Linked DNA regions of Arabidopsis thaliana. The protein of the gene in region 2 interacts with the protein of the main gene of each other region in a pairwise test. Each region holds a gene or a part of one and is shown on either strand. Other genes may lie near its edges.

Region 1 (4,271 bases), about 15 Mb from region 2:
AGTGCCACCTCCACATTCCTCTTTATCCCAGCCACCACTAGGTAGCCACACCCATGTTCCGAAATTCACGTCGTTGAAAGACACAACAAAAAAGAAAAAGGGTAAGGAGATGGCAGCTACAGAAAAGGGTAAATCAAAAGATCATCAAGAGAGGAAGCTTTATGATGAGAAACAGTTTATGAGTGCTAGTAGCAGCAGAGAGTCAAATACAGAAAGTTTAGCCAGGCTAGTTGATACTAACAGTTCTGCTGGCAAAACTGAGATCAATAGCGATGATCATCAACATGATATTCATAATATGTTTAGCAACCCGAGGATCCATGATGCTTTCATGGGTGCTGGAGACTACAGTGGCTTAGTAGTGCCTGATGGAAAGTTTGGGCTTGGTTTTAAGCGCGCCATTTCTCAAGATGGGTCTCTGGTTGGCTTTGGACATTCAGGGTTAGGAGGATCAACAGGCTTCTGTGACATCAACAACAGATTTTCCATTGCAGTAACACTGAACAAGATGTCTATGGGAGGTGTAACGGCTAATATTGTGAAGCTTGTTTGCTCGGAATTAAATATCCCATTGCCTAAGGACTTCGCAACTGATATAGGTGCAGATTCGCAGATGGGTACGCCTCTAATCAACTGAGGTTGGTTTTCGACGTAAGTTTTGTCTGCTCATGTTACAACATGCATAGCTGTCGCCTTAAATAGCTAATAGAAATTGCTGGAAAGTAAAGTGTAATGGATCAGTGTTTTTGTTTGTTTGTCTGTATACTTACTTAAGCGAACACATTTAAGCAATTTCCTTGGAGAATGTAATTTATTGGCCTATACATGCTTCAGTTTCCAGATTACAATCTGCAGGATTTGGAGCAATTAAGTATATGTTGACGAAACTTGAGTTTATTTAACGAACATGCTGCTTTCATTATATGTTTCTAGTTCTATAGCGAAACACATACAGGAAATTCGCTGAGTGATCATTACATGTTCTGAAGAAAGAGAGTCATGGCCAGATGTCTGAGACGCAGCTAACAGCTTCACTGGATACATTACCAAGTCCAGGGCTTGAGTTCTGTCCAGAAAGTGTCATTCCAGGGAACAAAGATTGGTCACTGTGGACTGTAATGGCGGGCGAGGTATTTCCCGTGTAGTGCAGACTGCTGATGGAGTGTGATGGTGGACTTAGATGAGTTTGTAGAAGTTGATTCAAGCTGCTAGTGAGTGACCCTCTCGCTACCAAATCTTCTGCTAGTTTCACCTATATAGAATTTACTTAACTTAGCACATTCCGGTTATTACTTTCCCAAATTGAAAAGAGCAAGTGATAGATGATACCTTGACTCTCAGAGTTTCAACATCTGATTTGAGAACTCTGTTATTTGTTCCAGCGCTACGAAACTGTTGTGTTGCGTCTATGAGCTGCTTGTACAGTGTTGAGTTATCGCCTTTCAAAGAATCAACCTTGAAGAAAACACAAGGTCACCATTAAAACATTACTCTCTGATACAAATCATCCAACAAGCTATTTGTTAACCTTACCTGAGTCTCAAGATCTACCAAGTACTCTTGCTTCCTTCTCCTCGACCTCTTTGCTGATTCCCTGTTTGAGTTCATCCTGAATTCACATCACAGAAAAAGATTAAGAAGAATTGGTGATTCTCTATCTCAGTGTTTTACATCTAACTTTTTTATTGGTACCTAACATACCTTCTAATACGTTTCAGATCATTGGGATCATTAGTCATTTCAGATTGCCCTGCTTCTGTCTCGGCATCTTCGTCATCAGAGTTAACATGAGAAGATCCACTTGTGGTTCTCCTAACTCCTCCTCTTACCTCAGGTTTATTGGCTGACACTGGACTATCAGCTGACAGATTCTCTTTGTAGATAAGAGCCACACAAGTAGTGAACATTAATATCAACTGCAACAACACTTATTACTTACATGGAGTCAAATCAAAGAGACATGCACATACCGCAGATTGAGGACTGTGCATCGCGAAAAGGTCCAGCCGGAAACAATCCCTCAGACCACAAAAGACTATCTCTTAACTCACAAGTGTAATCCTACAACCAAAAGAAACTAGACTCTTAATTACTACAATATCTCTGGATCTTGATATAGACACAAGCAACAATGATACGAATAAGAGAGACAACAAAAGGACTAACCCGGTTCATGAGGTCGAAACAAGGGTCTAGAGGGCTTGTAGTGAGATACTCTTGTAGAGCCAGCTCAGAAGCACTTCTCTTCATACCAATGTCTTTAGCTGTGTGATTATCCATTTTCTTTGAATGTGAACACACAAGAAAGAAGAGAATTGGTTGGAAAAGAGAGGAGAGGGGAAGAGTAAGTGGTGATAGACATCTTCTTTATATAAGTCTCTCTTCTTTACTAAAGTTGTGAAAAAGCTTCTTAATGGCTAAGCAAAATTGAATTTGCATTGTCAATGCAACGTCCTCATTTCCAACTTTTTTTTTCTTTAATGACAACAATAACAAAAGAGAATAGAAAAGCAAAGCCACAGAGATGTATATTAGGCTCTGTAGTATTGGTGAATATTATGGTACCAATTATATGCTAATGATAACCTTTAATCCCTTAACTAGGGAGACTATCTAAGATAGCTGGAGACTCTTTCAATATAAATCATATCTGAATTCAAACATTAAGTTGTTTGTCAGCTCATTAATATGTTGGAGCTTTTGATTTGAAAATGAATGTTATAGGCATATATATAAGCAGCTTATATTCATAAAAGGATCCTAAAATATTTCGAAATAAGCTTTTAAATATTTGAAAATATTTAGATAATAATATTGTCACTCATGTACATTTGTATTCTTGGCACATGTCAAGAACCTTACACTTACATAAATTACTCTACTACATAACCTGTTTGAATTCGAATTTGAAGTACTTAACGACTAATTTAAGATTAATATACAAGGGGCATAGTCCAATGATGAAACTACAAAAACATTGAAAATGAATAAATTAACCTTTTACGGTAAATGTTTTACCGAATATATAATTTCATAAAACACTAAAAACTAATCTTCATAAATAATTGATAATATTTGAAGGAAAAATATTGATAATATTGTTTCAGTTTTTTACACCTTTGTATCATGTAGTAAAAATCTTTAAAATATTTATTATCATTCATTACTACTACAACACCAAAAAGAAAAACTTAAGAATTTTCCGGTCACACGAACAACACAAAATGCTTCGTCCTTTGTTTACTCTTACTTTTCGCCATATGCTTTTGGAAAGCAGATCTAAAAGACATTTCTTTCCTCCAGCACCAGAAATACTTTTTATTTCATCAACTTTTGTATGCGTAAACCAACTTTTCTTTCTTTTGATCTGCACTTCCTTTAAAAAGTTAAAATATTTCACAACAAAACAATAAAAAGAAACAAACTAGGTAATGTGTCTTTAAACAAACAAAAGTTGTTTAGATCCGAAAATAGAATCCAAAAGCATTTTAAAATTATTATTTCTCACTAACTAGAACTTTCGAACCTATAGTGGACTACAATGTTTACAATCTACCGACTACAGTACAATTCAGTAACCATAGTAACTAGTACAATTAAAATTCAATCCTTAGTGATGTTGAAAATTTTCATGTAATTTAGATGATGATTGATATACGTTTTTTGTAAGAAACGAATTTCTACTTGAGGCACATGCTAAATTTGTAAGTTAAAATACAGAAAATATGAATGAAAATTAGTTTATGAACACAAAAGTAATTTTTGTTTTCTTTTAGCAAAAAAAGAAGAAGTAATTTTTCTGTTTCTACAAACTCTACTTGTAATCTCCAAACGAGGTTTTGCAAAGAAAAAGAAAAGAAGATGAAAGGAATTATAAACAAAGGAAAAGAGAAACAAAAAAAAGACGTTGTTCTATGTCTAGTGATCACTAGAGTAGTTGGGGTGATTTAGTTTTCAGAAATTACTTTTCAAATCATATAACTGTGTTAGTATATTTTTTGGTCATGGGTAGATAAAAGTATTATAGAACAAACAAAAATTCTCATTTAAAATTCATGACAAAAACAAGAATTCTCGTGACCAAATGAATTTTATCAAAGTTTATGTGACCAAATAAAAAACACTAGAATCTTTAGTTTCAGTTTTGAGGGACCAATTGAATCTTTATTTGTTTTTTTTTTTTAAAAATTATTTTTGATACTATAATATTTAGTGTAGTAATTATATTTAGAATCTTTCTGGTTACAGATTTAAAATATTATTCCAGTAAA
Region 2 (5,409 bases):
TACACCACCCACATATACAGAGTCAATCATTTTTGGGATCAATTTCGATTATTCGTTAAAGAGAAAAAAAAAAGAGTACCAACCCAGAGATAACTCCTGGAAGGCTGGCCAATGAGAGCGTGCTGGTAGTCAGGATCGATGTAGAGCACCCAGTAGTCTCCGGTGACGGGAATGATTGGGAGGAAAGGAGGGACATAGAACTTGACTTTGAGCTTGGCTTCGTCGCTTTTAGGATCGGCCTTATAGGCGCTGCCTTCGATAAAACCCCTCTTCCCGTTGCTCCACGTTTCGTTCAAGACGTGTATGGTACCGTCGGGGTTAAGGGTGTAGGTGGCGCGAGTGTCGACGCCGTTCTTTGGCTGAAACCTTGATGGGAAAGAAGCAATCTCGTACCAACGGCCCATGTATCTCTCCACGTTGAGCCCTTTCACCACTTCCATCTCTTTCTTCTCTGTCATTTCTCTTCTTTTTCTTTTCTTCTTCTCTAAGATTTCGATGTTTTCTTTGAGGTAAAAGGATAAGAAGAGATTCTGTTCTTTATAAGGAAATAAAAAAATAATATCAAGGAGATTTCGCTGGGACGAGAGGATGCCACGTGGAAAGCGTGTAGGGCAAGGGTTCTAGTAGCGTCTAGCAGTTACAAATGTGAATAAAGGTGGAGGACACAAATGTCTTCCTTGTTCTGTGGGAAGAAGGATACAATACAATGGGCCATACAGTCACATTTTGATTTGACTTCCTCTAGCCGTTTCTAGGCCCCACCAAATTATCCTATCGACATCTAAATATCTCTTCTTGTTGACACTTCAAAATAGCTCCATATGTAAACCAACGATCTCAATTAGGCCCATTACTATTCGTATATTGGTTTTGAATAACAACACTTATTCAGAAACTTTATAAAATAAATTTTTGTAACAGGCTCGCTTTCAATTCCAATTCATAAAAGAGAGTATGAAACAGGTTGGTGTACTATGATCTATTGACAGTCGGAGGAAACAATGTGGGAAGAAATTTAAAAAAATCACATGAAAATGGTCTCAAGTGGAGAAACTTAATGCAACTGGTAGAGAAAGAGATGACTAGCTAAGGTGGAGGAAATGAATCAAAGCCAAATCTAGTAGCCACTGGCACCATTCCGTTATTCTCCTCCTGCAACAAACACATTCACTTTCATTTTCTACAAACTACAAAAGCTTTTAATCCAATCAAGAAAACAACCGCGTTACCTGTTTCATCATCTCATTCATTATGTCATCGAATACATCATGCTGGTTGTCATTCTCTGGCTTTCCCGACTTCATCTCTGGATCCAGCATTGTAGTAGCTTTTCCAACATACTCTTGACTGTTGTCTATTGGGTTCATCAGTGACTCATCCAAGCCTTTGCTTCTGGTTGAATTGTTGTCTCTGAAAACCATGTTATCTGCGGGTAGAGGATACTCAATGTTACCGAATGGATTGTTCAGCATGGTGCAGTTCTGTTGCTCCCATTTCTGTCCGCCTAACGGATTCACGTTCTGCATGAAGCCGCCAAGTAATTGAGGATCACACTGCATCTCTCCACCAGGATTCTCTGCAGAAACCAAAGAAGTACAATCTCCCAGATTGTTCCCTGCACATGTCACTTGATCCGGCAAGAAAGCAAGATTTAGTGGTAAGGAACTCGGTGGGAATCTGGTTGTGTTCAAATTCCCTTGCCAGCTATGACCAGGAAATCTAGATAAGCCTTGGAAACTGATGTTTGGGGAGGCAGAGTTGGACGGAGTTCCCTCGATGCAAGGCTGAATTCCATCTGAGGCTATATGCAGGGGTTGTGTATAGTTTGCTTGCAACATTAGAGGATTGGTGGAAGCACTTGGTAAAGAGGTGCTAGAGCTACCAAATGGCATACAAGTATCTAGGAAGCTACCGCCAATAGCTCTGTCCCCTAAGCCTTTAAAATCTCCAATGTATGACTTGCTTCTAGGAAACTGGAGGGGTTCTAGTGGAGATGAAGTTCGCTGAAACAGATTCACGTTCTGGATTCTTGGTGACAGAGTACTGTGATATGTTCCAAACGGATTAGCTGAATTGCTTGAGTTCTGGTGATGCCCCTGTTGGATGAAGCTGGAGGAGTTCATTCCTTGGAGATTTATCGATGAATACATAGGGGGTTGGAGTTTGGTGAGATGGGAACGCGATAAGAGTCCTGAGCTTGGAATTTGTCTTGCGGCAGTAAAATCTCTAAGTCCATCAAGTTGAGCCATCTGAAAGTAAGATGAATCTCTTGTTCCAAATGCATCTGGGGTCATATTTTGCTGCTGACCTTCGTCTATCTTTTTCAAGTACAGTCTGTACTTCTGCAACCAAAACCAGAGAATAAAACAAGTCTAACCATCCAAGATTATATTTGCGAAAGAAGGGGAAAAATGCAAGAGAGAATGGGGAATTAGTACCTGCAAATGACTGGCTACGTTTTCCCTAGTGAGACCTTCTATACTCATGAGATCAAGTATTTTTTTGGGAACAGCCTCTGTGATGAACACAAGGAGAAATGAAAAGAGGATCCCACACATGAAAGCATCAAAATAACTCTATAGGAGAAACAAGAGTGGACATCACACATAAGGAAAGGTTTAAAGAGGTCTATGGGGAAACTCACTGTCGAGGCCCAATTGCTGAACGGCACTGACAAACTTCTGGTGAAGCTCCTGAGACCAAACAACACGTGGCTTCTTCCGCGTACCTGACCCGTCACCATCCTGTTCACTCCCCTCACCATCATCCTCTTCTCTGTCACTGTCATCTTCATCACCACTGTCATTGACTTTGTCTTTCCGTTTCCTGCTGGCGCTTGGGACGGAATCAGATTCAGAAGGTGGGAGCAGTTTTGCGTAAGATTTAATGTTCTTCTTCACAACATGATGCCATATATTCTGAAGCTCCTTGAGTCCAACAGGCTTGACCAGATAATCGCAAGCGCCATGTATAATACCTTTCATAACGCTGTCATAGTCGCTATGAGCTGACAACACTGAGACAATGAAGCAGGTTACAATAAGGGCTAGAGTTGATATGAAAAACAATGGTAGGAGACGTACTGATGACAGGAAGGTCCATTTCAAGACCAATTTCAAGCAACTTAAAACCATCCGTGTCTGGCATCTCTACATCGCTTATCACCAGATCAAACATGTTGCTGTTTTCTCTCAGCATTTCCAGAGCTTTCCTCGACTCCATTGTCTTTGTCACTGGCGTAATCAATCAAACATCATTGACCATGCACCCCAATTCCGAAGCAGACAGGTAAAAAAAAACAAAAGCAAAGAATATGTAGTACCATGATACTTGCAACGAAGCAGCAACTCTTCGAGTTTCCGAAGGCAGGTTGGATTGTCATCCACAGCAAGAACCCTCATTCCTACAGGAAACTTGTCATGCCTTCCATCTTCAGTGCTTCCAAACTCCATATTTGATGCAATACGTTTGCAAGTCTCCTCTCTTCAAAGGAATATAGTACATAGACTAAAATCTGATCTGTTTTATTCTTAAAACCTCAAGTTTGGGACTAGAAGAAGACCATAGTCCTCCTATAGACAAATGTAAAAAGATAAAGACGAGTGGCCCAAAAGAGAGAGTGATTACGCGGTTAATCTGGCCCTTAATTCTCCAAATAATTAGAAATTTCCTTCTGTTTCTGCTCATATTTCCATAAATGAGGACGTGGAGAGAGTCACATGTTCCTCTAATTTCTCTTTTGTTGGTTGAATCTTGCCTTATCTGAGCACAAAAGACAAACTTTTCGTAAAGTGAATGTAAATGTCCCCATTTTGTTTCCTTACTCGCAAATAAACGTTCAAACCCAACGTTTCAACCTTTCCTGGCTTTCCTTATATATATGCATTTCCTATTTTCCATAGAAATGTTTTTCCTTTTTAGTCTTCTAAGTGAATGCACCAAAACAAAACAAAAAAAATCTGATTTTTGACATAACGCGTATGGTCTCAGTTCCAAAAAAAAAGAGAATTCGACAAATGCAATGGACTGACCTGATCACATTCAGGCATTCGAATCCGTCGACTCTTATTACTCCACATTCTTAGTCAATCGTCATACTTGTGATTACTCTGCCATTTTCTTGATTATTCTATCTGAAATCACAACCAATGTGAAAACTGCGTCACAGATGATTGTTGCTGATGAGTCTCCAACAGTCTTAACTTTATCCATCACCAAACCCTTGGAACTATGCACCACTCCAAAAAATAGTCTTTGATCTGATTTCCACTACCACAGAGACTTATTTTCCAGTTTCCTTCCATTTGAAGAAATCGACAACTCTGTGATCTTCTTATACTCAGATTATTATTACCATTCGATTTCTTCAAATGGAAGGAAACTGGAAATAAGTCTCTGTGGTAGTGGAAATCAGATCAAAGACTATTTTTTGGAGTGGTGCATAGTGCCAATTGGACTCAAAGATTAAGAAATTAGATAATCGTCTCCTAGTTTCCTATCTAGAAGAACGAGAGCAAGGAGAAAGGGAAACTTCATATGAAGAATTGGAAGTTGTACAAATCTGTAGTACTATAGATGTCTAAAACAACAAAAGGACAGTCTCTCCAGCATTTATGAAACAGAGCTCCAGGGAGAAAGAGAGCGCAATAGACTTTCCCAACTACTATAGTACAAATTCAAATGCTCATTTGGGCCTGATTTATTGAACATGGCAATATGGCATTGTTTTAAGGTCAGTTTGGTCCCAGAAAACAGCTCTAATAATCACTTGGTCTAAGGAAGAGAAATCAGAATTCAAGAAGAAAAAAAAATAGTTCAAGCCATCACACAGAATTACAAATTGACAAGAAGAAACCATCAAAAAATAGAGACTGCGATGGCTGCCACCATCAGTAGTGGGAAAAAGAACCCGTGTTCCCGGGCTGCCCCACCGTAGTAAGGTTCTATCATAATCGGAAATCTGCAAGTTCCAGTAGATGGATCTGTCTTGGTCACCTCTGATATGTTTGGGAACTTACAAGCTGTATCAAGCTGATCCTGTATCTGATAATAACTGTTGAATGCATACGATATGTTTTGTTTCCCGTCAAGATTAGCACAGGACGTCCCAACCCCAAGACTAGTACAGTCCCCAAGGCTACACGCGTAGCTCACGGCTGGAGCTACCTGCGGATCATCCAACCTCACATTTGGCTTCATCACACACCACTTCCTCTCTAGGTAGCGTACCCCTTTGGCCTGGATCAGAGCTCCTGTGTTCGTTGTCCCTAGGTTCAAGGCATATTTTGGTAAGCCGTCAAATGTGAATATCCCCCAGTGTCGCTCAAAGTATCCTGGCTGAACACTCTTGGCGTCCTCGTCTATCAAGCTGAACAGGTATGCATCGATAGGGCCAGGTCTCCTCGGAGT

What was found. The genes of interacting proteins can lie anywhere in the genome.
Region 1: the proteins of RR18 (region 2) and BZIP9 come close enough for resonance energy transfer, tested with the Arabidopsis thaliana proteins (one study listed by BioGRID).

Annotation. Positions count from the first base shown.
Region 1 is NC_003076.8:8,513,268-8,517,538, reverse strand, and holds BZIP9 (basic leucine zipper 9), read right to left. Parts: upstream 2,340-4,271; 5' UTR 2,281-2,339; coding exon 2,167-2,280; intron 2,062-2,166; coding exon 1,971-2,061; intron 1,874-1,970; coding exon 1,702-1,873; intron 1,610-1,701; coding exon 1,534-1,609; intron 1,456-1,533; coding exon 1,330-1,455; intron 1,253-1,329; coding exon 998-1,252; 3' UTR 870-997; downstream 1-869. Other genes in the region: AT5G24810 (ABC1 family protein), read left to right, coding at 1-637. UniProt on the Arabidopsis thaliana protein: Transcription factor.
Region 2 is NC_003076.8:23,500,699-23,506,107, forward strand, and holds RR18 (response regulator 18), read right to left. Parts: upstream 3,472-5,409; 5' UTR 3,453-3,471; coding exon 3,323-3,452; intron 3,234-3,322; coding exon 3,084-3,233; intron 3,017-3,083; coding exon 2,645-3,016; intron 2,516-2,644; coding exon 2,439-2,515; intron 2,343-2,438; coding exon 1,230-2,342; intron 1,153-1,229; coding exon 1,087-1,152; 3' UTR 907-1,086; downstream 1-906. Other genes in the region: TIL (temperature-induced lipocalin), read right to left, coding at 84-458; AT5G58090 (O-Glycosyl hydrolases family 17 protein), read right to left, coding at 4,858-5,409. UniProt on the Arabidopsis thaliana protein: Transcriptional activator that binds specifically to the DNA sequence 5'-[AG]GATT-3'. Functions as a response regulator involved in His-to-Asp phosphorelay signal transduction system.